Oryzias latipes: one gene and its partners. The protein of the gene in region 4 purifies or fractionates together with the protein of the main gene of each other region. This does not show direct contact. Links are inferred from orthologs where the notes say so. Each region holds a gene or a part of one and is shown on either strand. Other genes may lie near its edges.

What was found.
Region 1: the proteins of ppp4r2 (region 4) and tiprl purify together in Homo sapiens (affinity purification with mass spectrometry; 5 studies listed by BioGRID and IntAct, counting the BioPlex papers as one, with this or other methods). This does not show direct contact. The link is inferred for Oryzias latipes from reciprocal best matches to the Homo sapiens genes PPP4R2 and TIPRL.
Region 2: the proteins of ppp4r2 (region 4) and ppme1 purify together in Homo sapiens (affinity purification with mass spectrometry; 3 studies listed by BioGRID and IntAct, counting the BioPlex papers as one, with this or other methods). This does not show direct contact. The link is inferred for Oryzias latipes from reciprocal best matches to the Homo sapiens genes PPP4R2 and PPME1.
Region 3: the proteins of ppp4r2 (region 4) and dhx38 purify together in Homo sapiens (affinity purification with mass spectrometry; 3 studies listed by BioGRID and IntAct, counting the BioPlex papers as one, with this or other methods). This does not show direct contact. The link is inferred for Oryzias latipes from reciprocal best matches to the Homo sapiens genes PPP4R2 and DHX38.
Region 5: the proteins of ppp4r2 (region 4) and ccdc6 purify together in Homo sapiens (co-immunoprecipitation; 3 studies listed by BioGRID and IntAct, counting the BioPlex papers as one, with this or other methods). This does not show direct contact. The link is inferred for Oryzias latipes from reciprocal best matches to the Homo sapiens genes PPP4R2 and CCDC6.

Annotation. Positions count from the first base shown.
Region 1 is NC_019872.2:12,961,293-12,967,641, reverse strand, and holds the start of tiprl (TIP41-like protein), read right to left. Parts: upstream 3,998-6,349; 5' UTR 3,905-3,997; intron 3,310-3,904; 5' UTR 3,306-3,309; coding exon 3,181-3,305; intron 3,065-3,180; coding exon 2,885-3,064; intron 2,600-2,884; coding exon 2,500-2,599; intron 2,222-2,499; coding exon 2,090-2,221; intron 355-2,089; coding exon 259-354; intron 175-258; coding exon 112-174; intron 1-111. UniProt on the Homo sapiens protein: May be a allosteric regulator of serine/threonine-protein phosphatase 2A (PP2A). Isoform 1 inhibits catalytic activity of the PP2A(D) core complex in vitro. The PP2A(C):TIPRL complex does not show phosphatase activity.
Region 2 is NC_019872.2:16,424,113-16,430,424, forward strand, and holds the start of ppme1 (protein phosphatase methylesterase 1), read left to right. Parts: upstream 1-2,505; 5' UTR 2,506-2,688; coding exon 2,689-2,780; intron 2,781-3,435; coding exon 3,436-3,529; intron 3,530-4,080; coding exon 4,081-4,173; intron 4,174-4,312; coding exon 4,313-4,370; intron 4,371-4,783; coding exon 4,784-4,835; intron 4,836-5,573; coding exon 5,574-5,728; intron 5,729-5,874; coding exon 5,875-5,965; intron 5,966-6,312. UniProt on the Homo sapiens protein: Demethylates proteins that have been reversibly carboxymethylated. Demethylates PPP2CB (in vitro) and PPP2CA. Binding to PPP2CA displaces the manganese ion and inactivates the enzyme.
Region 3 is NC_019861.2:20,524,997-20,531,504, reverse strand, and holds the start of dhx38 (pre-mRNA-splicing factor ATP-dependent RNA helicase PRP16), read right to left. Parts: upstream 4,174-6,508; 5' UTR 3,922-4,173; intron 1,896-3,921; 5' UTR 1,893-1,895; coding exon 1,564-1,892; intron 1,244-1,563; coding exon 1,056-1,243; intron 754-1,055; coding exon 592-753; intron 514-591; coding exon 351-513; intron 113-350; coding exon 1-112. Other genes in the region: cytochrome b5, read left to right, coding at 5,308-5,487. UniProt on the Homo sapiens protein: Probable ATP-binding RNA helicase. Involved in pre-mRNA splicing as component of the spliceosome.
Region 4 is NC_019863.2:21,902,646-21,909,317, reverse strand, and holds the start of ppp4r2 (serine/threonine-protein phosphatase 4 regulatory subunit 2), read left to right. Parts: upstream 1-3,020; 5' UTR 3,021-3,117; coding exon 3,118-3,151; intron 3,152-3,723; coding exon 3,724-3,805; intron 3,806-6,091; coding exon 6,092-6,262; intron 6,263-6,672. Other genes in the region: gxylt2 (glucoside xylosyltransferase 2), read left to right, coding at 1,225-1,401. UniProt on the Homo sapiens protein: Regulatory subunit of serine/threonine-protein phosphatase 4 (PP4). May regulate the activity of PPP4C at centrosomal microtubule organizing centers.
Region 5 is NC_019873.2:18,423,322-18,429,653, forward strand, and holds the start of ccdc6 (coiled-coil domain-containing protein 6), read right to left. Parts: upstream 3,788-6,332; 5' UTR 3,752-3,787; coding exon 3,497-3,751; intron 2,448-3,496; coding exon 2,298-2,447; intron 1,090-2,297; coding exon 961-1,089; intron 548-960; coding exon 444-547; intron 1-443.

The DNA of each region.
Region 1 (6,349 bases), on a different chromosome or scaffold from region 4:
GTGCGTGACTTCCAAGGACTCCTACTGATTAAACTAGAAATGACGTCGCTGAAATATTGCTCAGACTGTATATATATATATTTTTTCACATAACAGTTTGTCATTTCTCACCTTCAGTTCTGCTATTTTGTTTTCCCTTGTGCTGAATTCTCGTAGTAAGTAGTCCTTACCAGCCTGGAACACAAAAGCAAAAACCATGACTGACTGTAAAGGATGAACTCCGGCTGCAGATGAATCGTCTCCTTCACAGCGTCTTGCCTCATGATACAGCCGAGTGTCGTTTATTCTTATCAACACTCCGTCCACGCGGAGGAAGAACCGCATCAACAGGAAAAAACTGGTGGGCATCACCCTCTGCATAAAAAAACAACAACACCAAAGACATAAACGATCAAGAAGATTCTTTAAAGACCAACTCCAATGAAAATTATTTTTTTTAGCACGTTGTTTCTCTCATGATGGAGGACACGTTTAAAGAACATTAAGAATAAATTTGTATTTCTGAGTATTTCTTTGTTAAAATTGTTGTGAATCGGGGGCAGATGAAAAAATGCAGCTTGAAAAAGAGCCAATTTGAGATGTAGAAAATGTGCTAGTCGGGTCACAAGCTTCCTGCTCCGCTCCATTCTGATGCAGCCACTTGCAGACAAATAGATCCATGAGCGTCTTTGTTTTCCTCGTCTGAGCTGGAATCTGCATTAAAACTGAACGTCTGGATGGCTCCCATACTGATCACCATTATCGCTGCATCTGTAATGTTAGGTTGAGGGTGGTAGGTAGCTGAAAGGCTAGTGGGACAGCATGTAAACAGAGAGCTCTCAGTTATGGGTGACGGGAAAGGGATGATCGAATGGGTCTTTAAATGCTAAATTGCAGCAAAAACGGTGCGGTGAATGGTGTAAAAATGAACCAATTTGGCTCAATTTAGCTGCAGTTATTAAAAAAAAACAAATTAGTACAAAGTTATGCACATATTTGCAGACAAAAGATGTTTTTTTCTTTTTAAAGAACTCCAGAAACATTAAGTATATCCTGCCTGCCTAACACTTAGACCACAACAACACTAATTATTTTTGTGTTTTTTTTTTTATTGTTATTAGCACACACAACCCATGACCTGACCAATTTAGACTTTTTTAAACATTTATGCACTAAAGATCCAACGATGTCCAAATTTACAATAAAGAATAGAAAAACTATTGAGATTACATTAAACAATGCACACATTTTTTGCTTTTAACTTTTTAAAGGTTTTTTTTTTTTTTTAAAGGAAAAAACTTTTTGCGTTGGAGATAAAGTTAAAAAAAGAAAATCTTTTCAGGTGCGGTGAAATAACTAATTTTATTTCTAAGACTTTAGAAGAAGGGGACAAGAAATACAAAATAAAACTTTAAAGTCAATTTCTCTAAAGTTAGCGTGAAAAGCTCGAAAAAGTCTGCATGATGATGAGGTTGTGGCAACTGATGTTCTGACGTCAAATAAGTACAAACACAAATAATCATTATTCATCGTATCAACCAGATTAAAGACAATAGTCATTAAAATGAACATTATCACTGATCGTAACTTTACTGCATCATAGTTAGAACGATTTCCTTCTGGATTAGTCGCTGCTTGTTTTGTACTTGATTGTAAATCAGATAGAAAGTTATAGCTTAGGTTCTTATCTGTTTTCTCTAAAACAAGCTCTTTTTACTGCCAGTCTCTAAAAAGCCTTTCAATAAATAAAAAGGGTTTAAAATGATTTTCCCTTTTTTATTTTCTGCTGTCATATTTATGAAAACTGTTGAAAATTACAACTTTGTGATTTTTATCTGTGTAAAGCAAAACTTACATGTCTAGATATTTTTAGCAAAATAAAGTTTTTTGTGGTTTCTCTTAATCTGCTCTTTGCATTCTTTAATCAGTAGGATGAAGAGGAAAATAATGTCAATATTTCTCACTATTTTCCAACAAGCTCTTGTTGTGGCAGAGCCTTGATTGGATCAGGAAATGGCGTTCACGACTCTGATCGTTCACCAAACTTCTAAGCGTTGACCAAATGGAGGTGGATGTGATAGTTCTGACGGCCGCGTGGGACAAAACTCACAATTTTGACGCTGATCTTTGAGACGCCGTGGTCGTGTAACTCGTCCTCAAACAGCAACACCTCGTCGAAGAACATGATGTTCTCGCGGGCTTTCAGCTTCTCCATGTCGATTCGTTCCGACGTCTCCGTCACCTTTGCGAAAAAAATATTAAAGCAAACTCACTAAAACCATCTTCTGTTAACCCTTGTGCTATCTTAGATGACCCCACCCTTCCATTGACGTGTTCTCCCTACCATGACAAAGGTGGATAAAGGTGGAAAGATTTCATGTAATCCATGGACACCAGTGAAGATCACAAATCATTGAAGAAAAAAGGTTCAGAGCACTGTCTAGTGGGTCCAGATGACCCAACTCCCAATGTTAAAGTGCCTAGGATAGCACAAGGGTCAAAGAAAAAATAAATACGAACCTTCATCTGCAATTCCTCCCCAAGTAAGGTTCCCCTGTAGTCTGTGGTGTATGTCCAATCATAAGGCCTTACCACCTCTTTGGAGTGCTCTGAATCCGCTCTGAAATGAGATTTACATTAAGAAGATTTATAAATATTTGATAATAATATCCCATTATCTGCAGCTGTGTATTTATTCAGTAAGACTTTATTATGTAGAAATGCCAGAACGGGTTTTTTACCTATACAACGTCAGCACTACATTAACTGAATGGTTTTTAAAATGAATAATTCATGCATGTTTGTGATTTTCCAAACCAAGTATTTTTCCACACTGCGTACAAAATGTGCACGCTGTTCTTTTTGAAAAGGCATTGTGGGTAAGAATTGGGTTTTCGGGGCTTGCCTGCTCTCCTGCCACTCTTGAGCACAGGCCACTTTCACAGCATCATCCATGTTGTTGACTCTTTTAAGGGCATCGATGGCATTGAATTCGATGCCGTAACCGTCTGCGTGTTGGATGCGCAGGACGTTGTCTCCAAACAGCATCTCTGGAAGACAGGGCATGCTGATCTCCTCCCCTAACCTGGGACAAAGAAGGTAACAAAAAAAAAAGAACAGTTGAAAAGCATCCCAAAAAGTCTTATGAGAGAGAAATAAAAATAATTTTTCAGAAAGCTGTTTTTAGGCTGAGCATCTCACCGTTCCACATCTTTGGATTTCATTATGTGGTTTTTGGCGGACGTCACTTTCCACGGTCCAAACATAAAGTCCTGCTTGCTGCTCCTGAAGCCGTGCGACATCATCTTGGACACAGACGCCAGCATTCAGCTACAGAAATAATTCTCATTTGAAAACGTTTTTTTAAATTCCACAAAGTTCTAATGGAATTTTTTACAATCAGTTTTTATATTTCTGCTGTGAGGGAAAATTTAAAATACTCATTGTAAAATTATCAGACAATCATGAAACTGAATTTCAGAACAAAGATCCATGTAAATAAATCCAATGATGTAACAATAAATTTAAAGTGATTTGATTATTACTTTTAAACAGTTGTGCACGAGTTCACCTGTTTTGTTAGAAATTTTCGAAATTAGCTATAATTAAGCAACAGAAAAAACAACAATGTGTATCTTTTCAAAGCCGTTACAATCCCCGCTTTTTTATCAGTCATTAAAATATCACACTTATATTTTGTTTCTAATTACTGGGTGGAAATGAATGAAACACACACTCCTCCTCTCCTGATTTAACTAACAAGCAGTTTTCTGTTAAATGTTCCTGATTAGGGCTGCATTCAGCGGAAGCCGCTGTTCTGGAGGTTTTCCGGCGACTATCCGATAGTTTAAAACGGTTATAAAGGTAAGCAATAAACTGAATGTATTAAAAGAAGTGAAAAATTAAGATTTACACAAATTGTTACCTCGATCTTGCTACTTTTCACAAATGCTGCTTGGGAGCGTCACTTTAATATGTCCGGCTGTGTTTTGGGTTCCGAACAAATGGTTCCACATGCCCTGTAACATTTTTCAACAATTTTAAATCTTTTTATTTTATTTTATTATAGCATAAATTTGAAGCTTTTTATTTCGTCATATAATATGTTATGATGGTACTGGTATGTGACTTTCGGCCGCCAATATGTTTTACGTAGCACCACTTCGTTCGGATGTATTTATTTTTATTTGAATACATTAAGCATTTTATCATTTAGTTAACAAACTAATGGTTTTTGCTTTCGATTTAAAGAACAGAAATGGCGGGTTTATGGAATTTTATGGACGCATTAGTAAAGATTTGATTGACAACTGATAATTACGTTTTAATCAACGGCAGACTTACGCACACAAGGTTAAAACAAGTTTTATCTTAAAATTTCAACTTTCTAAAAAAAAACAAAAAAACGGTTATATTTAAAAAGAACAAGAAAAGGAATGAAGAGAGGGCTGGCTTGACACCAGTTTATTGATGGTTATGCAAATCTTGTGTGTACCCGTCTGTGTGAATAAGTTAATATCAGCACGTGTGAGATAAGTCTTTGTCATTAATGTAGGAATATACCTAAAACCTGTAAATAGTTGAGTGCTATTTGTTGGCGTTGTTTGGCAAATGATTCCTGTGACATGTCGATTTCCCAGAATAAATATGCTCAATCAAAAACAGATTAAAAAAGACACCACACGTGTAGACAGATGTATTAGATGTCATTTAATAGGTGCTAGAGAAGTGATACTTGTGTCAGCAGACAGTGTGATGACAAAGTTGTGGGAAGGACTACGTTTGGCTGAGGGGTCCCACACTAGCAGGGATTCCAGTAAGGCAAGGCTGCATCAAATAATAGGGAAAAAAACGCGCACACTTGACACACATCCATTACACAAATTAGAGTAAGCACATGATATCAGAAGAAAGAGACTTGGAATATGTAGCAGAACATCGTCACAACAAAAGGTCTACATTCCTGTAAAGGGCAGATCCTCTTCTACATGTCTGTGTACAAACAGATGCATATTGAGTTGTGCTTTTTGTCGCTTTTCTTTATTATTTGTCGAAACTTTGAAAAAGGAACAGTAATAAATAAAAACGAAACTCAAGCATTCAATAGTTCTGATCATAGAGTTTTACAAACTGCCCTGAACAGATGTTAACTGTTACTGCAAAGAGGAAAAAGCAAACAAAAAATATATATAAAAAAAAAAAAAACGATGAATCAAACCAAGGGAATGCTATTGGCCCACCACTCAGAGGGTAACAGTCTCTCAGCTATCAGTCTCATCATGGATGCTCACATGGTACAGTTAGTCCTCCTGACCCATCCCACGCACACACGCAAACACACACACTGTGTGCCACTGAGTTCAGAGCGCAGCAGCAATCCTCCGACGAGAGCTGCTGGGAGCAGACAACGCTCAGAAGGAGCAGCGTACCATCACAGCACACCTACAGTACAATCATGACTGAGTTAGAAAAATACAGGTACAAAATGATTACATTCAAGAAGACAGTACTAGCACAAAAGGGTATTATAGTCATTTTGGTAACTAATATAGGAATCTAAACAGTATATAAGCATCTCCCGGATAGAAAAGTGGAAGGGTGATAAGCATAATGCATCTATGGCTGTTCTTGGTTTTGTTGATGACTGGATTCTTGGACACATGGATTTAGTTCATATATATTTAGATAAATATATATATAAATAAAGTCCGTGATCGTTTTGGTTTGGGTCATAAGGTGCTAATATATAAAGAGGTGCCCTTTTGCTGCCAGAAAGCACGATCCCACTGGAAACTCAGGATGAATTGTGCTGATTTTATTACCTGAAGACTCAGAAAACCTGACAAATCCAGCACAACACTTTTGTTAGCTGTCTTTAATGCTCCTTTGAATATATATATATATATATATATATATATATACACATATATACGCTCACTGGGCACCATATTAGCGAACACGTGTGGCTTTAAAGCTGACATTTCATCAGGCAATCACATGGCAGCGGATCTGCTTTAAAGGGAGCCGACAAAGTTCCGAACTGAGCGTTGGAGCAGACCTGAAATGATGTCATCATTTAAATGGTTGAGAAACTTGTGATCTACCTTCTTGAGTTTTAAAAACGTAAACATAATTAGCGAAGGTTTGGGTGCTGGGCAAGAAAAAAAAAAAAAACCTTGTCACAAGAAATTTAAAAAAAAGCAACCACTTAAAATCAGTCAGATCTGACTAATCAAAACCCTTCCATGTGATTGGCTGATTTCTGTTAACCAACAGCTGATTAAAGTGTCCCTAATGAAGTGCTCAGCGAGTGCACCTTTCCTTTTTCTTTGGAAAATGTCAAGGAATTCGGTTGCTTTAAGCAGACATT
Region 2 (6,312 bases), on a different chromosome or scaffold from region 4:
TGGTTTCAGCCAGTCTGCAGAGACCACCCCTGCAGACATGGAAAAAGAAACTGAGCAGGCCGACTCCTGTCAGCACAGCGTCCTCTTTGCACGTTGAATACCATGAACCGTGATTCAGTGCTGTGAAACTGATAATCTCCATCGGACTATAAATAAGGACCATAACATTACAAACAGTCACTTAAAGGTCAGTGGGACAGAGTGCCATGGCACAGCACCTGCTTACTTTTCCACATCCATTCACCAGTGGACTGTGGGATTCCTGAATCCTGTTTGACGGGAGGCTTCCAAGGATGCTCCACAGTGATGTCTGTTTGGTTAATTTTCTCCTCAAGTTTTGTTTTGTTCCTTTTTTCATCTGATCTAGATTGTTGTATGCATGCAAACAGCAGCTTTTTAGAGAAACGTAGCAAACATCTTCCAATACCAGAGGTGACTCAAGTTTACTGGCCAGGGAGCTCTTAAAAAAAACCTTTTAATTTATATTTGTAGAAATCTTTCAGAAAAAGATGTTGATTTAAAAAAAAACTTGAAGTGTTTAACTTTTTAAAAATGCAACTTTCTTCTTTAATTAATTGATTTAATTAATGTATTTTAACATACTATTACTACTGTTTAATGATTTAAAAGCAAATAAGCCAGACTTCTGCAAGCTGGCATGAAAAAGCCTCACATTTTCAGCAACTTGTTAAGGCCATGATAGGGGACTGCAGACAGTTGATGTCCGTTTTAGTCCTCATCTTTCAATTCAGGTCTACCATGGTTCTGACTGGGTCATCAGGCATTCTTGTTAGGGGTTGAGAACCATTCTGTTTGTGGGTTTTGCTGTTGACTCGCTTCAGTCTTGGATTGGATTGTTGAACCCTGTAAATGTAGCATCATATTCAAATTAAAGGATTCTGGGGTTGTTTTTCAGTAACTACACTTTAAAAGCATCCATAAATCCCTGATTGTATGAGACCCCTCTCTCCTGCCAGTCCAAAAGTACTGGTAAAATATTGTTGAAAGTAGTCCATGAAAGTCTGGTCCCAGTAGTCCTCTTCTCGTCAGGATGCCCTGGTTTGCACAAACCTATCTGAGCTGGCTAACCAGGTTGGCATTTGATCTGGCATGACTTATGATTAAAGCGTTCTCTAATTGGACAGCTGAAAGCTTGTTATCAAAAAATAGTTTATATGGGTCAATGGCAAACACCTTTATGTAATGTCACGTGACACTTTCTAAAGTTTAAAAGTAACATCTCCTAAGAAAACTTCTTTCTGTATACCCCCACACCTTTTTTTCACATTTAAAATTTGGTCTATGTTATAAATTCTAAGGTATCAATGTAATAACTTCACTACAATAACATACTGACGTGTTTATTGCAAACACAGACAAAGAATTCAACTATCTTGCAGTTTTTGGTGATTTATGGCTCAATGAGTTCCAAGCAGCTTTATGTTCTCCAGATAGAGCTGCCGTTCTGCACATTTATTTACTTTACATGCAGTCCAAGACAAGGTTTGTTAAAAGAACAATTTATTTTTACAATCATTCAATTCAAATAATAATTTGTGGTTGGTGATGTGATTCATAGTCGATATTGGTTAATTTTAAACGGTCCGATTTGATCTAAGTCAATGGCCTAAAATGGATCCAGGGAATCTTTAACAAAAAACTTAACCAGTGTGACTGAGTGATAAATACCTGGATACTAAACAGTGCAGGTGAAGTTTTCCAGATTCCTTGTATTTCTTGCAAGATAATCAAGTGTAAATTAAATATAAGAACAAACAAACAAGTAAACAAGAATTTAAGGTAAATCCATTCACATTTTAGTTTCCTGAAGTTCAGCCCACTATTGTTACTCCACATCAAAATAATACAAACAGAACCTCATTAGAACATTCTATCATACTGTACGGTCATATGTCTTTCCTAATTTCAAAGTGGAATGATGGACTGTATTTCTGCATTTTCCAACGTTGATTAAAATGGCATTATTTCATTTTGAAACAATGTTATGATGCTACAGGTGATTTTATTTGATTCAGTTAACAACTTCCCTTAACATATCGATCTGGTTGGATTGTAGGAGTATAAATCGATTAATAGTTACATCCCTAAATATTATCAGCTCAGTAAAGAGTGAGAGAAGGAAAGACAAAAGTTCAATTTTTGTGATTCAGAAAAAAAATACTGTTAAATATGTTGTGAAAATGCGTATAAACAAATTGTGACACATCACATCATCACTGTAATGAGTGAGGGACTAGCGTTTAATATTAACATGCCTTACAGTGTAAAAGGGAGGGAGCAGAAGAGAAAAGACTTTTCAGCCGATTACCAGTCTAATGGACGACAACTTGTTGTTTTTAAGACACGATTTTAATCATTGAGAAAAATGAATATTTTATAAAGCACAGAAAAAGCTTTGATGATTACTTGTTCATTCGTTGGAGATATGAATGTACTTTTTTTACCGCTAGGTGGCAGCACTTTCAAAAAATGAGTAGAAAACCACCTCAAAACTACGCAGAACAAGAAGAAAGACGGAAAATACAAAGAAGCCGTTAGCCTGTATGCTATAGCGATTCATCAAATGTTTGGTTAACGTCAGTACAAGTGTCAGAAACTATCTTATGCAGCAAAAGAAAGGGAAGGCTATATTAGACATCTCTTGACAGAGCGCTCTTTCCTCACAGCATGGAGAAACAGTTGCATTTAAACCTGCTGGCCTCCAGACCTCCAATGGCTGGTCCTGGTGGATTTCAGTCTGGCTCTAAAATCAAGATGGGGTGAGAAGCTAACAGTTCATAAAACGTTAAAGGGTTTTTTTATATCTACATTTGCGTGTTATTCTTCATACCTCTTGTCAAAGCCATACTGTGAACTTTTGTCTGAATAATAGCTCGCCGAAAAGCCAGACACAGCTGAAGGAAAACCAATATTTAGTTAGCATTTAGGCTAGCCTAGTTACCGCTTATAGAGTAGGCACGACCCGCCTTCTGCAGCTGCTGCAGAGGTTTTTTTATACATATAACTCCTTTGAGTTAACAAAGTCTAGCTGATGCTGTGTAGAGCTTATCGTTTTCTTTAAGAAAAAAATCAGAATATATATACGTACTTGTTATGTTCTGATCCAGGAGACCCCCGTTACGCCCACCAAAGGATAAACAAAATCTAGTTTACAATACAGTTTTACTGATTTAATCCAAAAGTGTAATTACATTCTTATGAAGATGACTCTTTCATTAACTTCGTTAAAGTGGTTCGTTTTCTGCATAAGTCGTGCCTCTAAAGGGGGCAGCTGTGTGTCAGCCAGCAGAATAGAAACAGTAATTTACTAATGGGTAATATGGAGTCAAACCACAGTTTGGAGGTACAGATAGTATGTATATTGTACATAATGATTTCCCCCTCATTTTTATTTGTATTTATATTTTTTTATAGACCTGGCCGGAAGAAAGATTTTACTCCACTGCTTTGGAGTCAGTACTTTGAAACCATGGAGGATGTTGAAGTGGAAAATGAAAATGGCAAAGATATATCCTTCCCAAAATCTCTGTTTCACAAGAATGCCGTGACGATTTTTTGTTGTTTTGATTTACGCATATCATGGAATTAAGATTCAAATGCTTTTCAAATTCTTCGTCTAGGCCAGGGATCTGCAACCTTAAGCAGTAAAGGAGCCGTTTGGGCCTGTTTCTTGCTGATCAAAATCTCATTGGAATCACAAAGTCTTATTTTGCCCTTTAGGAAAAGTTGATACTACTTTATTTTTGGCTTGAATATAGAGCAAAAATATAAAGTGAGAGTAGCTTTTTCTCAAAGTGTGAAATTTTTTCTTTTTCTTTCTTACTTTTGACAGAAGCTTGTATGACTTCCTTTCAAAATTAGACTTCCTGTGCCGAACAGGGTCATCCTATTGCAACTAATGTTCTCCTAAAAAGGTTTTAAACAACGCAACAGCATCTTTTTTGTGCAACATGAGGCTCCGGAGCCACATTGCAGACTCCTGGTCTAGGTTTTAGTTTTGCTTAGCGTTTTAATGTAGTGCTTACAGCCTTGCGTTTTGTTTTCTTGACCGCACAACACATTTTCAGAATTTACTGCAGTGGTTCACTTGGTCCTGTGCTGTTGCTGCTCCATGGAGGAGGCCATTCTGCACTTTCTTGGGCAGTGTTTACTGTGGGTATCATTACCACTGCATAATCCCCTATTCTTAAACAGTAATCGTACACCAATATAACGAGTAATAATAACAATATGTGTGTTGCAAGACTGCCCAGAATACAGATTGAAATGACCTCTGTATATGTCTCTACAGTCAGTCATATCCAACATGATTACCTGTAGGGTGGTTGCCATGGACTTGCGAGCTCATGGTAAGGAAAATACTCTGTAGGCTTTGGAACAAATGACTTTTTCCCATTTTTTAAATGTAAAATAATTTCTGTAGAACTGACATTTTTCTGCAAAAATGATGGAATAAGTTTTCCAATCATTACTCTTTAAAAAAAAAAAGAAAACTAATCTGAGATTGTCACGGTAAGATGAGAAAGCTTGGGAATCCTTTCAGGTGATTTTTAACTAACAATTTTATCCACCCTGTAGTATATTCTCCAGAAAGACTAACATTCTCATTCTCTGCAATACATTGTGAGGAATTTTAACTTTTTTTTTTTTTTTTACTCTACACAAATGTGTTTATATATAAATTTAGAACCAATGCTTTGCTTTTTTTTTTTTGTTTGGTAAGCGTAACAAGAAATTCTGAAACTCGTCTTTAAACCTGCAGGTGACACCAAAGTAAAAAATCCTGAAGACTTGTCGGCAGATACCATGGCAAAGTAAGATACCGTTTTGTAAATACTATCTCTTTTTGTCTGAAGTGGGTTTATAGTTTGTTTGTTTGTTTGTTTATTGCTGGCTTATGTCCAAGAAATATATGAAATCCTATAAACTGGCTATATATGGAGTGATTAAACTACCAAAAAAAAAAGATACGTTTTGGGTTTTTTTATGCAATTGTATTTTTCTTTCAGAGTTAGTAATGTACCAAGTTAATCTGTTTTTCTTGTAATTATGTATTTCTTGTAAACTAGTAAATGAAAAAGGGAACCAATTGTTGCCACCTGCTAGACTGCTGCTGATTTGGAGTAATATTGTTGGACACTGTCAAGAAAATGAAAGATTTTCAAAATGAAATAAAGTGTAAGGAATTAAGTACAGAAATGCAAAAGCAAAACAACAACACAATTTTTGTGTATGTCGTCTTTATTTTAAAAAATCCTTTTTGTAGCATTTATCTTTTTTGACGCTACTCTTCAGATGTCACCTCCACTTGTTAATCCCGTTTCTTCTTCTTTAACTCGTTATATTTTTAGTACATTTATGTAATCGTGCCAAATTAGTAAAATGAATGAATTTCTGGCTGGGGCGAGGGAGGTCTGGGCATCTCTTTTTAGACTGCTGCCCCCGCGACCCGGTCCCGGATAAGCCCAGGAAGATGGATGGAATGAATTTATTTGCTCTGCTGTGTTTTTAAACGGTAGACACCTTTTATTTTCTTATTTGTTTGTTGTAAGGGATGTCGGTAAAGTGGTGGAGGTGCTCTATGGCGAGAATCCACCTCCAATCCTGATTATTGGACACAGTATGGGCGGGGCCATCGCGGTCCATACAGCCACGGCCAATTATGTACCATCACTGCTGGGTCTGTGTGTCATTGATGTTGTGGAAGGTAAACTTGATTCTGTTTTGAAGTTTCCATAACATTTTTGGAGGGTTTATAACTGTTTTAAATAATACAACAGTAGCAGAACACCAAGGAAAAGCTGGATGACTCTAGACTTTTAATGGCCATTAACAATATTTTTAACCATTCAGGTACGGCAATGGATGCTTTGAACAGTATGCAGAATTTCCTCAGAAGTCGGCCAAAGACTTTCAAATCGCTGGAGAACGCCATCGAGTGGAGGTAAAAAGCAGACACCTACTCAAGTGGTGAAGGGCTTGTTTTGAATTTAAAGTTCAAAGTGTAGTTTGAAACTTGCAGAAGAGGATTAAGACCATGCAGAATTATTTGATTGATGAAAAGTACTACAAGTATTTATAGTCAATTGAATGGAAAGTTTTTACCCATTTGGTCTTTACTTAAGGTAAAAATCTGAATTAAATTATAATCAAATCAATACTGCATTTAAGGTTTAGAACATTTTTAGGATATCTTCTGTTTTATAATCAGTTTTAAAGCTGTTATAAATAAAATGCAGTCCTTTAAAGAATTAAATTGTCTCCTATATTTTTAATTTAGCCTAAAACTGA
Region 3 (6,508 bases), on a different chromosome or scaffold from region 4:
TTGCGACAAACGAGGTGTTGAGCCCAAATGTTTTCTGTCATTGGCCCATTCGTTGTACTTGTAAGACGGTGTTGGGAGAGGTGTATCGTCTGTGTAACGACCTCTGACTGATCTGAAATCACAACAGATGAAAGCAGCTTCAGTCTCTCTGCAATTCAAATTGATTTTTTTAAGTTAAAAACTAGATTTAGAAAATTGTTGACAATTATTCTTTTGAAGAAAAATTACATGGGTTGCTCTGTATTTTTTATGTGCTTCAAATAATTAAAAATAAAAACACATTTTTTCCTTAGGCCTTAAAACTTCAGCAATTTAAGTCATAATGGAGGTAAGGTTTTGGAGTCACTCACCTGTCCTTCCTCTCACTTTCTCGTCCAGAGCGATGGCTTCTTTCTGAGCGATCTGAATCTCTTGGAGATGGAAAAGGAGATGGAGACTCCCACTGGGAATGCCTCACACTGTTGTAACCACTGTCGTCCTCATCCCAGTTGGAGTGGGAAGGTGTGAAAGAATCTGTAAAAACAAAAGAAGGTGACTTCCAGCAGCTACATTAAAAATTCATCTGGAGAAACAGTCAGAAAAAAGGCAAACCTCTGGGGCGTTGCAGCGGTGTGGAGGGTTCATCTCTTTTACTCCCTCGGCTGATGCGCTCCGACCATACATCTCTCTGCGAGCGCTCGCTCCTTTCGCTGTGTTCCCCACGTTCCGAACGACTGCCGCTGCTACCACGTCCGTGGCTGTGTTCCCTCTCATCTACAACACGGTCAAAACCAAAGCTGTGTCAACACACTTAAATGATCCTTCTCTCTTTAGCAGATCCAAACAATATTTGTAAAAACTTAATTTGTGGTGCTTTGATGATGGCATTACAGTAGAAAAGAATGTATGCTCTGTGTATCACAAGCGAATAAAAATGTAAAAGTAAAAAAGTGGGACAGGGTGCAGGGTCAAGATTTTTTTGGTTTCCACTAATGTTTCACTAAATTTACAGTCAAATATTTGAATCTATTACAGCACAACTTTATGGATGAAGACCAAATGATCCGTAGAATCACCTCTTTCACTCCGTCGCTCCCTGCTACCATCTCTGCTCCTGTCTTTGTCTCTCCTCTTGTCCTCCTTGGAAGAAGCATAGACCCCATGCTCTCGCCTGTCCTTCTCCCTCTGCTGGTGTCTGCGTCTGAACTCTTCACTGACTCCTCCAGGGTTGGACGGTGTCTCAGACCCCGTCACTCGATACTTCCTACAAGCAAACATGCAATACCAGGAGGCACTGTTAAAGATGGGCTACGGTACACAAAAATTCACTTCACATGGAGAAATATTGACTGCAAGCTGTAATTTGTGAAAAAAGAATGCAATACACAAGGCATTTTTGTTTTTAATAAAAATGTTGCATGGGTAAAATGATTATGTATACTTAAAATTGAAGAGAAATGTTATAACATCCAGAATATAGTATAGACACTGTTCATTTTCATAATAAAAACAACCTAGTATAAATCATTTGGGGAGCCAAACATTGGGCATTAATTTCATAAAGATCTAATTTTTTCAAATTACCGTTCTTTCTTGGCACTTTTATTCTCTTCGTCGTCCTCTTCATCAGAGCCGGAGTCACTTTTACCCTCTTCCCAGTCCTTGTAGGAAGAAATCTTTGACTTCTTTCTGTCTCTTTCATCGCAGTTGAATTGTTCCTGTTCTTTGGTCTCCCGCTCCTTTCTCTTTTGGGCAGCCAGTAGATCCAAGCCCAGCAAAGATGTACGTGGTGTAGGTGCTCGAAAAACATGAGGTTCTGCAGCAGTACTCTTTTTCTTTACAATCAGACCGCCAACCTGAGCTTCTGGACTGGTCCCTTCCAGCCTATGCATGGAAACATCCTCCTCCTCCATCCTCTGACAGCAAACACAGACAAGTTGAGCATAACAAATAACAACAGCACTTTTGATATGCTGGTCATGAGAGCACTTAACATTTATAAGTTCACTGAAACTACAAATAATGTGTTTACTATGAATAGATGCAAAACTTAACAAGTATTTGCTTGAAACTTCTAATTTGTAAAAAATAAAAAAATAAAAAACGAAGTAGTTCCACAACCAGTGAAAAGTTTTAGAACACTCCCATGTTTCCAGTTTTTATTGGAAAGTAATCAGTATTATAAAGGCGCTTGAAATAAAATGTATTATTATTATTATTATTATTATGTCTGTTATCCTCGCAATCTTAAGAATATTAGAAATTAGAAAGTGGAAATCCTGGAGCGAATTTACAAGCTAAAATGTAACTTTTAATTATTTAAAGTAGCCACTTTTTATAGATATAGCCACTAAACAGAGTCAGGCATTCTTTCTGCAACAGAAACTCTTTAAAAACGCATCTCCAGGCCTCCTGCAGGGGTTCACATAAATGCTTGCCACTTTGCTTTTCCTTTTCCATCCACAAGTTTGAAGGATGTGCAGGGATCTCCATGTTTCAAAGATTACCATTTTGTTATTTATTCTAAGGTAGTTCTGGCAATGCTTGGATTTTTATTTGGAGTCATTATGTTGTTGAAGGATTAGCCCTTGACCAACTAAATGTATACAACAAAATAAAAGTAGTGAGCTTAGAATGCCGTAGTTTCTGTTGGTTTTAGGTTCCTCTCTGTGCAACCCACTGAGCCTGGGCCCAGAAAAACAGATCCATACCCTCACATATCCTCCTCTATGTTTGACAGTTGGTATCACAGACTGTGGAGCCTTTGCTTCACCTTTTTGACAAAGATTCTGTGACACAAAGCAAATATTTCAACATTTTATTAATTGATCAATACCTTATGTAGAAAAGCTGTTGAACCTTAACCTGCCTGTTAAGTCCCACAAAATGAGTTCACCAATTCAGCGGCGACTTTGGATCTTCCAGACTTTTTCCTTTCAAGAGTTTTCCCAACTTTCTGTGCACGTTTTGATTATGAATACAATTATATTTTTATACAATAAAACTCACTGACGCCTTGACTTTCTTTATTTGTCTGTACAAAATACCTACACTTTTTGGTGTTTTGATGGGCTGTGTCTCTTCCATTGTCGTTTTTTTTCTGCTTTTTCTTTTGAAAACAAAAAAATACTTTTAGATGTAAAACACTGTTTAACTACTCCCTGCTCTCATGAAGATTGAGAATGTTGCACGTTATCAAAAAAAGTAGGAACACCTGTACAAATTATTTTTAAGTCTTGATGAACATCTAGCTTTAAACTGTTAATCTATTTCATGGTAGTAGACATTTTGTGTATTTCAGAAATCTGTACTTTCTTAGTTTAGCCATAATTATTATGGCTAAATATGAATATTTATTATTATTAGCTGGCAAGAACTTGTAACCATTTCATGTTATTATTTGGAAATTACCGCCCTGAATTCTTTAAAATCGTGTGGATTTTAGATGTTCTAAAGCTGTTGACCGACAGAGTAAATTGTTAACTAGGAAAATATAAAATTAAAATCAATTATAGTCTTCAGTTAGATGACTGACTTGCAAAAAAGAAGAAAAAAAGGAATAGGCAAACCTGCTGTGCTTGTAAAGGCGCATTTACCATGGTATATTGCTTTGCAATTATACAATTTCTCAATGTTTACAATTAATTTGCGATTCATAGATTACTTTGGCTTTATTCGGTTAATCAAACCTTTTTTTTTAGCCTGAATAAAAATGGAAACAAAAACCCTTGCCACCCCCCCCCCTCCTCCTCCTCCTCCTCCTCGCATGAAAATAATTCAAACTAAAAGTGTTGATGGAAAAATCACCTTGATCAACCTGATTTTGAACATAGTCTACTGAGTATGGTGAATTTACGCACATTGACCTGCTCAAAAAGCGATTATAAATATTTGATTTTTACTGTTATTCACTGCAGTTTATTGTAAATGAATTGGACCTACCTCGGGCCGAACAGCTACCGTTAGCTTTCCCAAAAGCTACTTGTTAGCATAGAGCACCAGAAGATAGAACACCGCCACTTCTATTTCTGGGAGCCAAATGAAAAAAACCTTCATACGAACTTCAAGATCAGACGACAATGTTGTTCACTTCTGAAGACAGAGACAACAAGTAGAACGTAAATTCGTATATACGACGCAAATGTTTACAGACGCCAAAACAGCCATTTCAATCCCACAATGCACTCTGTTCTTCTTCTACACATGCCTGCAGTGTCTATGCTGCCACCCACAGGACATTCTAAAAAATAAAATAAAATAAAAATTTGTTAAAACAACTTAAAATCTCTTTTTTGTCTTCAGGACACGAATATTCGGCTTACCGTTTGTTCACATAATCAGCAACGGCAGATACATAGAAAAAAGCTAGTAGAAAAAGCTATATATTAAACACCACAGACGTGGACTTATATTTTTTTGTTCCCTAAAAGTCTCCTGCACACAGAAGTTATTCTTAAAAGGGTCATTTTGTCCCTTATTTTTAAATATAGGGGGACGAGTTATTTATTTGTGTGGCGTACTAAGGTTTACACTTGTTTACCAGCATCTGTGGCTTATGTTTTCTTTCACCACACTACTACAGTTTTGGTTCACTTGCTCTAAGTATGTCTTTTAGCCAAAGTTTACTTTATATCCTTTAAGTAGTGACTTGTCAGTGTATTTTTTTCAAAGAAACTTACTCTATGAAGTTAAAATAAAAATGATTTTGCCCCAAAAGAAAAAATAAATCTGGCCCAAGGTTATCTTGCAGGAAAATATGGAAACTGGATGTATTGCTGCCTACTTTGTGTTTTGCAAATTTTCGAATGGATGGAGGAGACCTTTTTTAAAATATATATTAAAAACTACAAACCATAAAATGTTACCCAGATTTTTTAACAACATTATTCACGCCACGAAAAACGCAAGTCATGTTCTCATGCGCAATGACAGCACACACTTGACAACCTTTGCGCATTTCTTTGGTCTCATGATCACAAGGTGGCTGATCTGATTGGCCACCACTCAAAATCTCGCCCACTCATTGGTTGATGACCACGGGTCTGCTGGCAAACTAGAACACACATGATTGGTCAGTTCTACGTCCCTTCTAGTGTACCGGTTTGTTTCATGATTTCGTAATAAACAGCACGGTGGCGCTGTCTACTTCTGCCTTTCTACGTTCTTATTCGCTGTACCCGTGAAAACATTAAGTAGCTACCCTTCAGTTGCGTCTTTTTTAGAACACCGTTGAAGTCGCAGTCGTTAAATCCATACCTGGCTAACATAGGCTAACATTAGCCAACACCTAGACGACTTTTTGTTTTGTTTTTTTTGTATCTCGCTAGAATGGTCGAGGAGGCTAACTTAAAGTCGAGCGGCAAAAGCACAAATAGTGACCATTGTGAAACCGTCGACAATGCCTTAAAATACTTTACATTAGAGGAGATAAGAGTACACAACATGATCAATGACACATGGCTGGTAATCCACGATAAGGTATACGACATCTCGAGTTTCGTAGAAGAGGTAAGAAGAGGCTCTGTTTGTTTCAGTTCACAATACATGTTTTGTCTTTTTTATGCATTAACAAAATGTTTTTTGTTGAAAAATGGTTGGTTTACTCTTCTCTGTTGCCATTATACAACCAAGAGTTAGAGAGTAACTTGCCAAGTTCTTATCGGAGACCAGTCCTCGGAATGGCCTTATCTTAAATAAGTAGGCCTTGCAGAGAACCGCCCTTCAAAAGAGAAATGGTTGATTATAAAGATCATAAGTGAATGTTAGCATTCAAACACCCCTGGTTCTTCTTAAATCAAAGAGAGATAATAACATGTACATTGGACAATCATGACTCCACACAACTTCAGTGCACCTTCAGGGTGTCCTTTCATAAGATCTGGGTGTGGACTCTATTGTGGTTTCTCCTTGATATGAAGAAATAGAAAAACATTAAAATCAGGAAAAGGTACAATTAGAAAAACATCAAACCTGCTCACAAAATAGGATAAGTCCTCACTGTGCCCTTCTCTACCAGCCAACTACTTTTAACTACACTTTTTATTACACACATCCCTTTACTCCACCACTTAATACACTCAAGCAAACACACACACATTACACAAGGTGGGATCAGTGACCTTCTGTCCCCTACCCCACTGTCCCAGGCCTTGCTGCCCTCTCTTCTGGCAAAAAGGGGGATCCCTGAGTTCTCTGGCTAGGCCATGAGCCGTGGATCACGTCACATCTGAGCCACAGTGTATTAAGATGTATGTGTGTGAAGGTATGTTTGTAATATTTGAGTGTGTCTGGTGACAGGCCGAGCCCTTTTGAATAGCATCTGCACCTGACAGTAATGACGATAAACCTCCAGCAACTTGTTTCTTTGTGATTCTACTGCCTCATACTTCTTTAGCCATCCTTCAACTTCTATAACCCCCATTTTCGTCCCTTTCTTTTTCCCCCATCTCTAACATCCCACTATCTCCATGATGATCCATTTTGGATCACAGACTTATGATGTCTTGATAAATAATTTCCCCTTTTTATA
Region 4 (6,672 bases):
TGTCATCAGCAAAGCTGAGTAGCAGAAAGATCAGTTCACAGTAGAGCATATTACTCTAACTTCGGGTTTGAACTGCAGCAGTTTTATAGCACAATAATATAATTGGATTCTGTGGGGCTCATGTTAAAAAAACAAAACAATCTGGGTCTGTTTTTTGCTTTCTGGAATCTTTTTAGGCCCTGTCCGAATTCCTTCACTACTCATTACATAGTGCACTATACATTGCCTTCTTCATTTTGTAGAGCTGTCCGAATCTACAATTCCAAAATCCTGTGCCCTAGAAATTTCCCATAAGTCTCTGTGAAAAACCAGTGTGCACTGATGCTCACTAGATTGGCGAATATAAACCAGAGTGCATTGTGTTTGAACAATGTTTGTGAAAACATTTTATTTTATATTTATTATTAAAATCGTTTTCATCATCAGAACTCCGTGGACTCATAAACGATCATTGCAAAACTCTCATATTAATTAGATTTTCACTTCATGAAATCGATGACGTCATATTCGCCATAAAAAAAGTAGTGAGCATGGTGTCTGAATTGCTAATAAAATCCAGGGCACTACGTAGTCCTGCACTATATTGTGTTTTAGTAGTTAGGGAGTAGGGTGGGAATTCGGATATTGCCTTACTCTGACAGAGATGAGCCTGCCAAGGACAACTGGGGCAGAATTTTATTGTTTAATGCCTGAAACTGAGGGCTGTCTCTGAATTCCCTCCCTTCTCCCCAACTCCTGAAACACAATATAGTTCAGAACTTATTTACCAAAGTAAAACCTAAGAAATTCGATTGTAAATATGAAGACTCTAAAGCCAATGTTCTCATAAATTTTTAAAATTATTTAGCCATTTTCGCCAACACGCCAAAGCCCATCAATAGGCAAATTGATGATGATTTATTTTTTTAAGTATAATTTTTTTTTTTTTACCTTAAGTATGGTAAAAACAATTTTTTTTCCCGAAAAAAATTGTTTAACCGCAATGCATTGTGGTCTATATTTCCTGATCTACTGTGCATCGATGCTCATTAGTTTTAAGCAGAGACCTCAGGGACTTGTCCAGGGCACTGGATTTTGGAATTGTAGATTTGAACCCCCCGGAAAAAAAAATGGCGAACGCCACAGAAAGTGCATAAAGTAGTGAGGGAATTCGGACACAACCTACAAAATTGTCTTCCTGCAGCAGCTGGCTGGGGATCTGACGTTACGCCTTTGTCTCCGCAGTTCCCTTTCGAGGACAACATGTTCCAATCGCTGTTCTACCCGGTCCAGAGCAGGTTCCTGGACACGGTCAACACTCTGTGCGGTCGCATTCCCCAGGTCTTCCTCAAGCAGATAGAGAAGACCATGAGGAGTGCTTTTGAGAGGAAGGTGGTGCGCCATGCCAGACCTCGAAATTAACAGCCGAAGACCATGTTGCCCCACCCACACCCCCATGCTGTGCATTTAAAGCAGACGCAACCTGTGAAGGATCATGAACTCTACAGAAATAAAAAAGTAAATAAAAAGAAACCAAACAAAGAAGTCACTTTTTTATTTATGTTGAGAAAAATGCTCATCTCAAGCATTTCTAAGCGACTAAAATGAACATTTTAAAGGTTCAATTGTATGAGAGCAACTCTTGGACAGTTTAAAGAATGGTGAATATTTTAGCGTCACCATGAAATGTGAACGAACCACCACTGTCTGTATTAAATGTTTGTATGTTAAATGTTTGAAAAGCACTTTTTAAAAAAGATTTTTTTCTTTTAGACCGTGAGACTTTGCCTGACCGAGTTGGACAGATTGTGCAAGAATGTTTTATTGGAGTGAAGTTTAAACGCCATATTAATGTTCATGTGTGCCATGTTTACCATACAAAATAAATGGATTTGTGTAGGTGTGTGTGAGCCTGTAATATGAATCTGTGCTGTTGTGACCCACGTGTTACATGGAAAAGTTTGTGGAGTCTACATATGTTTTCAGAATTAAAATTTTTGCAAAAAACTAACCCATTGTGAGTCTTTTTCCCCCTGCTATTACCTTGTTTGCTTTTGTCCTGGTAAGTGGGCGGAGTCTTAAAGACACCACATTCTTTTATATGAAAGACCCACTCTGATAAAATTGTGTTTCTGTTGTTTTTAACATGTTCTCGTGGCATTTTTTCTGACGATGGAAGAAAAATATCAAGAAAGTTAAGCTTGAGATTGCATTTCTGAGTATTACTTCGTTCAAATTGTGAATTAGGAGCAGACAAAAAATGCAGTTTAAAAAAAAAATTGTGCTCCGCGTCATTCTGATTCATCTATCTAAATGTTCGTTTTCCTCGTCCGAGCTAGCATCTGGCTCAATTAGCTCCAACATTGGTCGCCATTTTTTGCTGCAACGCCACTAGGGATGTGAGGGACTGTAAGCTAGCAGGAGAGAGTGTAAATAGAGAGCTCTCAGCAAAGGGGAAGGGTCAGGGGGGTGGGGTTGCTCCGGGCCAATGGTCCCACCCACAACTCAGACATATTTTTTAATAATAATGACCAACTCTTATTTTCTTTTAGTTGCTATATTGTAATGAAATACATCAATTACAATATACGCAGCACACAGATTGGGTGACAGCTCATGGCTGCTGATTGGTTGATTTAGTGAGAAGCAAAACATACTGTATTTGTAACTTTGTCATTGTAGATAAATACATGTTTATTTGTGCGTGTGACATTTCACACACGGACAAAGCAACTTTATAGACAGACATGTTTGTTTTCCCGTTATAAAACAGTTTTACAGACGCACACATTTCTAATGACGGGTACAAACATTTTTAAAACAGACAGACAATCTGTTTTCTACAGATACTAAATCTTTCAACACACACAAATGTCTCATTACAGGTGCAAACCGTTTTGTGCAACAAATCTAACTTCATATATGCTGCTCTGCAAAAAAAAAAGTCTACTGGGAATGCTCTTTTTTTAGTTGTGTTGTATCAGTTCTCTTCTGTTTGTTGAGTTAGACTCGGGCTGTGACTTAACGACGCCATCTTTAATTACCCCCCCCCCCCCCGCCGCCTCCTAGCCTAGCTTAGCATCGGCTAGCCGCCATCCTGCCGTTGACACCCTCAGCACTAACAGAGGCGACGACGTGATGGAAATTGACTCGATTCAAGAGGCGCTCATAGGTCACTTTCTTCTCCTCATTTAACACCAAGCTGACGAAAAATATCTGATAAATGTCTGCTCTAGGTTACACTAAAAAAAGCGATAATGAAGTGGGTTTTAGTTTACGAGAGCTAGTGTCAACCGATGCTAACTTATTAGCTAGTGCTGTCTTCGAAACGCTTAGCTTTCTTTTTAATGTATTCCTTTCTTTTTTTTTTGAAATAACTAGTTAGTTCTTATAGTTAGCTTTCTTCTTTTTGTTTTCCACGCACCATGATTTCAGATGAATTAGCCGGCTAACGCTTTGGGGAAAACTACCGGCTTCCCCGTTAGGCTAAAGTTAGCATCGCAGGGCTACGATAAGCTAATAGGAACTGCTGATCAACACTTAACGAAAGGAAGGGTTCAGCGATATATATTAATTCCTCGGGTTGAGTTAAAGTGGGCATTGAGCGTTAACCAGGTTAAACTGGACGACCACAAATTAATCCGACATTCTCAGCTGCTCAGTTTGGCTAAACTGTTCGTTTTTTAAGCTAGGCTAAATCGAGACCTGTTCGTGTTCAGCCAATTTGTTAAAATGTTTCTACAGATTTTGACAAGAAATCTAAAAAGGAACCATCCCCTGTTCTGGAGGAGTTCCTGTGCCATGTTGCCAAAACTGGACAGACCATGTAAGTGTCCTTTTTCTCTCGGTTTTTCTGCTCCAGTATTTGAAACTCTTCGGTTTACTTTGAGCCTTTCACTTTCCATTGATGCTCTATTGTTCACTTTCACAGGAAATTCTTACTATGACAGTTACCTATATGCTTTTCCTAATGCAAGTTCTGCACGAAATAGGGTCAAATAGAACGGGGGAAAAGGGTCAGTCAGGATGAAGGGATCAAACTTATCTCGGATAATTCCTTGATTTTTGAGTCATTTTTGTTTGCAACCTGGTTTTCAGATTCGTGACAGCTTCTATACTATAGAGGTGAACTCTGGTTTACTTCTCAGTCTGAAGTCCATGCAGATAGCAGTTTATGGTTCGGTGTCTGCAGTTACATCCCACAGAAAACACTGCTGATATTGTATTTGGACCCATCAGAGAGTTTTTGGAGATGTTTGCGGGGGGGGTTTCCGGTCATAAGAAGAATACATCTTTGAAACTTTCCACTTTCTCCAGTTTTACCCGTGTCTATTATTGTCAGTGTTGTCGGAAACGTTCATCTGCCCCGATACCATTTCCTGCTTTTATGGAACTCAACAAATGTTGAATGTGTTGCCCTCTGCAGACATCGAATGTGTGCCGTGTTATTTTAAACGTGACGTTAAAAACCTGTTACACAGAGAATGGTGCAGCTTTACCTTGAAACTTGTGAATCCACGACCACAAAATTTTATTAAAGTTTGGTTAAAGTGAGCTTTCTTTATGAGAATTATTATGGAATAATGAGTGAAATAAATAAATGTATTACAGATGTTGGCAAAAATGAATACTTATGCTTATTACAGCTGTGTGTGTGAGGGGCTAAGTAATCAACTGTAGCATCACCAGTCGTCTAGCGATAACTTGTCTCTTCGAGAAAAGAGGTTAAAAAATAAAGGTTTTTTTTGAGGTGATGGAAAACGTTTTAAACAAATAAGAAACATACAAACTGGGTTGATTTACGTTTCCCAGCTAGTATGAGTGTAAGGTTCTTTATTTTTTCTTTCTATCGTCTAACAAAAGCCCATCCAAGAAGCTTCATCACTTCTAGTGGAAGAGGAAGACCACAAAATCAGCTTATTTATAGGTCTTTGTTTTATTCAGAATATCCCTTCATTCGGGCTTAGATTTCAGTTTCGGTGTATTTACAATAATAGGTGAAGAAATGTCGTAGATGCTGTGGAGCTACAGAATGGTAAACATACTGAGGCCATTCTAGTTCAAATATATGTTAGCTTGATGCTATATTTAGGGATACAGGAGGTTGTTGGTGTTGGTAAAAATGACCACTTCTGCTGATATTTCTGTTAGTAAAGCCTTAGTCACATGCTGCCGTACTGGGTTTGGTTTTTCCAGGGTTGTCGACCTTGAGGGACATCGTGAAAATAAAACATATGATTGTCTTGCGTGTGTTAAGCGTATTGTAAAGTATTTGTAAGGATGTAGGTTTGATGTACAGGTGCTGGTGTCGTACGGGGGCCTTACGCTACACTATTTGTTTAGTAAGGTGCGCATACTGACTCATTGTTGACGGCGTGCAATTGCTGCACACGTGGGAGTGCAGGTCATATGCAAGTGCCTGTAGGACGTCCACGGGAATTAAACTCGTTTGTTCCCCTTTCGGCATATCGTTTCAGGGGTGGCCACAGCCAATCAGCTTTCACTGATTCATACAGGTGGCAGAGATTGTTATTTCTTCTGCCACAACTCTATTTATTTCCGGGCTGGGGACCGGCACAGTGTGTGAAGGGTCTTGCCCAAGGACCCACACTGGATGAAGATCATCCAGAAAACATTATTTGCTCTTCGAGCGTTCTACGAATTTGATATTGTTTGTGGAGCGCCTGTTTGGCCCGCACAGGTTGGTCAATTCTTAACCTGCAGACAGCCTGGATCCACCCATAAGGGAAGTTATGACTAAGGCGTAAAGTGTGGCTTCTCCTATATGATTGAATGAAATGAAAGTGTATTAGAGATAAATCTGTATAATAGAAGGGTTTTCATTTGCAAAAGGTCAATATTTGGTTTATTTGAATATTTTAGAAGTTTCTATTGGATCAAACATTTTTATAGGTTGATCATATCAATGTGTTTTCAGTCATTTATACCCAAAAAACAAGTTCAGAGCTGAGAGTAGGAAAGAGCGATTAAGACTCAGAACCGAGCAGCTGGTTGTTTTTACCAAAGAAAGAGGAACATGGATTAATACTACGACAAAGGAGTACTTTACCGGTTTCCTGTTCATCCTCATCTCCTGTGTCCAACTCTCCAGGGTCCAGTGGTCTCAGTTCAAAAGCTACTTCCTGTTCAAGCTGGAGACGGTGATGGACGACTTCAGAGCGTCGGCGCCCGAACAGAGAGGCGCCGCCAACCCCAACGTGGAGTCTGTTCCATTCGAAGACATGAAGGAGAGGATCCTGAAGATTGTGGACGGCTACAACGGGTGAGTGGACGCTCCAGTTGTGCCGGCCGGCAGAGGGACGTGGAGTTACCGATCAACCATCACCTCATCTCTGAATATGAAGCTAAAGAAATGCTAAGGGAGGAATGTCATTCTTGGTCACGATTTGGGATGTAAAAGGAAGAAAAGACACCGCTCCTGACGCTTGTGGGGGGAGATGTTTGACGACTTGCTGTCCCACATAATTCCGGGGAGGAAAAAAAAAATATATTGTTTCCATCCAAAAAACAAATACAATAACGTTCAGGAGGAGAACAAACGAGTGTGATCAGATTCTCCTCCATGTTGGTTTTGGACTCCACCCACTGATCACATTACAACACGTCACTACCAGACTTGAGTTCTTGATTGGTTGACAAGACACAAATTCTTCGACTAAGTTCAATTATGTG
Region 5 (6,332 bases), on a different chromosome or scaffold from region 4:
TGTCAGGTGTTCAAAGGCGTGAAACTTCCTCTAGATAAGAATACTGGAGGTGCTAGAATATCCTCAAAGCAGCACTTCACACGTTCTTTCACATCATGAAGCGGTCTCATATAAACTGTATTTTTACAAAACAGGAGAGAAACAATTGAAAAAACACTGTGGAGCATTTTTAGGCAAATTTGGTAGTTTCTAGTGTGGTTATAATTTATATTTCGAGACAGCACCTTGAGTGTGAGCAGGATAATATTGTCTAATAGCTAGCCAGTTACAGGTCAATCATTGAATCATATTTAGTAAATTTGTTGATATTTTTAACCCTGCATGGCTTGATTGTGTTAATACAAGTCATTGATATTAGTGTGCGCTGCATGTGTGAGTTCCTGGACCTTCTGCTTAAACTATTGCTTGAGAAATCAGGCTTGTAGTATGATTGAAAACAATACCTTTTCTCCGCCTCCAGTTTGTCCATTCGCTTCCACAGTCTGTTGACCAAAGCTTCTTGTTCTTGCTCCAACGTGTTCTCAAGGTCGATCTTTTCTCGCCTCAACTGTATCACACAAGTGTTATGTGAAGAGTCAGAAAATTCTTCATGCTGCAAAGCATTCACAACATTTCACGCAAACATCCTGTTCAAGTTCAAGGTCTTTGTCCAAGGCAAGCTTCAAAGACGAGCTGGGGTGGGGAGTCTCTAAAGTAAATCTTACATTTGGTTTCTCAGAGACAGAAACATATTTTTAAGCAAATATGCATGTTGATTTAATCTTGCTTTCAAGAGAAAATGCACAAAATAGTATGAAACATTTGCGATAGTGGCTGGAAAACACAGATCCATGTGATAAAGGAAGAGAAAGGAAGGTCGAATCCAGCGACAAATTACAACATCGTTTGGTAAGAATTTAGGAATGCATATTTTACTACACAACTAAGCTTACTAAAACATTTGCTAAAAGTTAGGTATACCTGTTCTAGGGTGAGCTGCTTTGAAATGGTTTCATTCTCCATTTTCTTGATCTTTTTCATGAGCTTGTTAACCTGGAACTCTTGCTCTTGCTCAAGGTGCTGCTCCAACTCTGCCTTCTCATGCTGGAGCTATGGAGGAAAAAGAAACAAGGGCAAAGAAATGAAAAGACGTGAGTGAAACAGACTAAACCAAGGACAGAAAAGACTAGCCAAGCAGACAGGGAGACATTTCATAGTTAGTCATGCTAAAACCATTTAAACCAGTTGTCAGATCACAGAATTTGGTTTTAATTTTCAAAATACTTTCAAAATGATGGAGAGAGAAAAAAAAAACATCCATTTGGACTAAAACATAGCAGTTTTTTGGAAGCTCAGTAAGGGTGTGGCAGAATGTAATTCAAAATAGGGCCTCTCTACAATGGATTATGCAAGTGATTAGTCATAATGCAGACGGCCATTTGAACTTGTGTAGGGAAAAGCTGCAGAGAAAATGTGGAAATGACAATTTTCATAATCCAACTAAGGGAAATGACAAAAAATATTTCAAATTTGTTTAATTGAACCCTTTATTTTGACAGAAACAAAACAAACGGTGGTCTTAGTCACAGCCTCAATGATAATTTAGATCAAATGACTCCCACCTCTCTATCCTTTCGTAACAAAACATGTACAGTTTCTCCTGCAGCTCCAGAAAAGGAACTGATAGATTTGTTGACTTCTAAAAAGACTCCAGCACACCATCTTTATTATAAGGTAGCATATTCAATTGGCTGAACAACAAATGTTTAACTACCACTTTTAAATATGTGACAAAGATTTTAAAGCTGTCTCTATTATTAGTTTAGTCAGAGAAATGTAAGCTCTATTAAATAAACTTTAAGAAACTCGCCGTTTTTAAGAGGCAACTAAAGGTAACAGTGTTGTATTTGAAATGTTTTACCACAATCAGTTGAACCCACTGATGATTCAGTAATAATACAGCATTTTCAACAGAGGAAAACCATTATTGTCACATCACATCACAATAACTGGCCAATAATTTGGGTTCATATCATTGAAAAGTTGTCAAGTGGCACCAAGTCAAACAAATAAAATCATTATAGAGGTTAGACAAGGAAGTAAGTCGTTTTGTTCCTACTGCCAAATTTTCCCACTCGTGTATTTAAACATGTGAAACGAGGTGAGAGACTAAGGTTGAAGAGGATTTCCTATTTGGCATTTTTATTTTACACAACTCTGTTTTTTCTCCATAAAAAAAACAGTAGTAAATTAATAAAGATCAAATAAATCGGTTCTTGAATCTATTAAGCCATTAAAATTCTCACAAACAAACTCACTTGCATGAGTTTCCTTGACAGCTCATTGGTGAGAAATTCTTCCTCCTTCTCATAGTTGACTGCTAAGGTCTCCTTCTCCTTTTGGAGGGCCTGGATCTTCTTGAACAAAGTGTTGCTGATAAACTCTTCCTCCTGTTCCGCTCTTGCTTGCTGTGGGGAGGAAAGATATATAGGATCAGGAATTAAAGAAAGGACCTGGCGGACATGGCAAAGCAAAGCGGTTTTTATCTTGATTAAAACGTAAAAACGATCCCAGGAGAAATTGACAGATATACACCACTCACTCAGTCTGCTGCAGTGAAGTCTGCAAGCCAAATAGGGAGCTTAATTTGACCAGATGACTCAATAGATATTGCAGTATAAGCTGACTTGCAGCGCAGGAAGGAGTGACACATTAGGGCTGCAATGTGTAGGGCTTGGGGGAGCAGCTAGCATTTCAGTGTGATGATACGTTTGCCCTTGCCAGTCTCATTATTCATCCCCAATTCCTCTCATTCAAGGTTAACAAGAACTGACAACTTGAGATGTTTTTGAGGAAAATCTATTAATAAACAAGAATTCAAAATAGTTGGTGACAATTCAGCTACAAGAAAGTGAACAGTTTGAAGGTTTAATTTCCTCACACTCACAAACTTAGTTATTTGGCAGTCTGTTGAGCTCGTTAAGTTTGGTCTACATACTCTTCATCCATCCAACAGATCTGTTACACATTTATATGAAGCTGTGGCTCAGTGGCCAAGCATGCAGACACATGACGACGCGACAATTCATGCACATTTTTTGTAGCTGATTTATTAATTTTCATTCAGACACCTTTAATCTTCTTGCTAATGTATCAACGACGTTATCAAAGAGAAACCCTCCCAATCCAAATGACAAAAAGTAAATATTTTAAATTGTGTACCGATGAGTCCACGTTTAGTTTGGCATCGTTTTGATACAGTTTTGCTAACGTTAGCCAAAATTAGCTAAAGGAAAAAAACAAAGCAGCTTTGCTGGCTAATTTAGCAACAATGTTACAGTTAAAAAACAGCTAAACAGAGAAAAACATAAATTCAATTGCATTCAAATTAGAATTATTATATTGTTGTGATTTATTGGCAAATTACACAAAAACGAGCATTCCTTACTTGCTGACAAATGAACTGTACTTATAGCGTGGGATAGCATATAGCAGTTAGCTTGCTAACGTTACTCACAATGGTGACGCTAGCTTTGCGAAGGTCTCGGTTCTCCTCCTGCAGGGCTTTGCACTTCAGTTTAAACGTCTCCAGCTCAATTTTAAGAACTTTGTTCTCCTGCTGTAACGATGCAAGACGATTTGTCAGCTCTTCCAGACGAAACTGTGAAATGACTATGCTCGGTTTTGCAGAACTGGAGGCAGAGGATGACATCGGAGTGGCTGAACTGCTCCCCGCACCGTCAGTGTCGCTCTCGCTCGCGCTGTCCGCCATGGCTGTGCGACAGTGTGTGAAGCAGGGGAGGATGGACGACAGCAGTTGCAGATACTATGGCAAGCCAAAAGGGCCAAAATTTACAAGGAAGTATACCATTTACTGAGGTCCCTGACTGTTTATGACTGAAAAATATAAACAAAGATAGTAAACCCATATTTAAATTTTATTTTATATATAACCTGAAATCTTATTCCTTCCAACATACCTCGTCAGAGGTCGCCACAGTGAATCAGCTTTCACTGAGTCGCACATTTGGTTTGGCCGTGCTTTTTGCGCCCCCTTGTGGCTGCAGTGTTGATCAGGAGCATGAAAGGCCTTGCTTCCAAACTGGATCGAGCTCATCCCACCCCCTGGGAAACAAACCCTTGTTTCCTATGCACCACGCATACACACAGCCCACTGAGCCATCCAGCTGCTGTTTAACTTAATATTATGACATTTTTTATACTATAACATTATTGTATAAGTCTGTAAATGACAAATATTTAATACAAATATTAACCATTTAATTGTTAGCTATTCATAATATTCATAGTTTTTAAATGATAATACCATCTTACTTGTTTACATTTACTTGTTTTCATTTTATTACATTTTCTTTTCATGGTTACAAACTGCTATGGTAACGCAGAAATTTCCCACATGTGGGATCAATAAAATAATTCTAATTCTGATTCTGATAATTCCAGGCCGTTATTAACACTCATTAGAAAATGTTTTTGCTGTAGTCCTATTTGTTGGGTGCAGTGGAGAAGCTTGAACATTGTAACCCTTGTGCTATCTTAGATGACCCCACCCTTAATTTGACGTGTTCACCAGTGAGGTTCACAAATCATTGAAGAAAAAAGGTTCAGTGGACTGTCTAGTCGGTCTAGATGACCCAACTTCCAACGTTAAAGTGCCTAGGATAGCACAAAGGTTACGTGGGGAGGGAGGAAGAAGGGAAAAGACTTTAGAAGAGTGGGAAATGGGAACAGCAGAGTGGAAGGCCATTACAAATGAAACAATCAAAAATACACGTCAAACAGTTTTAATATTGTTAATAATATTCAAACAGCAGTTCTTTTACCTGAGATACCATTTATAATGCTCAAAGAAGCATGTATTGATGGTTTCTTAATCTTTGTCAATACTGATGCTAATGTTGACTCAGAAATTATGTCAGACGTGGGAGGGAAAGTTTTTTACAGGGGAGGCAGCTGCCCCCCTTGCTCCCCTGTAGCTCCGCCTCTGGTTGCGTGACTAAAAACACTTTTCCTCCAGTCTACGTTTTCATAATTTTTCTTGTACAAATTTCTTATTTTACAAACCCCACAATACTAATCTATAGATGATGCAAGTAAACACGATATAGCAATGTATATCGTTCAATTTATAACCTAATTCATGTCTTAAAGGTTATGCTGTCATCTCATGCAGGCTGGATGACTGTTAAATAATATTGCAGCTCATTCAGAAGGCTTGTGCTTTAGTTTTAACCAGAAATACCCTCCTAATAAGGTTGTGTATTGCACCAAAACAGAAGGTAAGAGTTTCAATGAACTATGGAATACTATACCGTTAAACTGGTTCTCTGCTCATGGCTGAAAGTTATGTTTTGACAAAAAAAATTGAAATTTTTACTCAGAAATGAACTGTTGTTTAAAGTTCCTGTCATTTTTACCATTAATGGTTCTTTGACACAAAGAAAAAAAAAAATCAAAAACACACATACTGCAAAATCAATGCATTTTTATTAAGTTTTTGTTTTTTTTGAAAGACGTCCCAAACATTGGTGATGGCATCTTTGCTGCTATAGTCTCTAAAATTGAATAACCAAAGTGCTAGAATAGTTACATTTCAATGGCTTCACTCTGTTAGTAAGAATTGTACATCAAAAAGTCTGCTCAGGTGAAAACACATATCAAACAAAGTTGACAGTTTCATTGATCGTTCAACCATATTAAAGGATAATCTAACCCCTGATTGATGTAGTTGTGTAAGAGGGTGTAGTTTAGCACCCTATGTGGCTTCCTTAACACCCCCTTAAAAAAGTGATTAAGTTTCCATGCCCACAGCATTAGCATCAGCATATACTGAGGCATCAAATCAGTAGAACACCACACATGAACTACATGGCATCTAATGAAAATTAATACAAAGATAATCCCTAGAGTAAAGTAACTTTTTTTTTTCCAGTGAACTAGTGAAAACAGTTCTATTAGACACTGCATATACACTCTCAAGTCTAAAGAGATCACACAGTTTCAGAGTAAATCACAATTTATTCGATGCTTAAATTATCGTTTTTGACCATCCAGTGTTTTGTCATACATTATGCTATTTAGAGCTACAATCAAATAATAGCCTTGTGTCCTTAATGTGAATAGCTTTTAAATCAAGGAAATACTTCACCAAAAATTCAAAGTGAAATGCCCCAGTTTTCCTTTATCACCACTGCAGCCGTTGGAAAAAAAAAACAAATGACACACTGCTAAAATGATAACAGATAGTCTAATGGGGAACAGAGACTCCTACATCTTACAGCCAATACACACAGTACATTTATAATTTTACAGCGAACCAGCTGAATAGCATT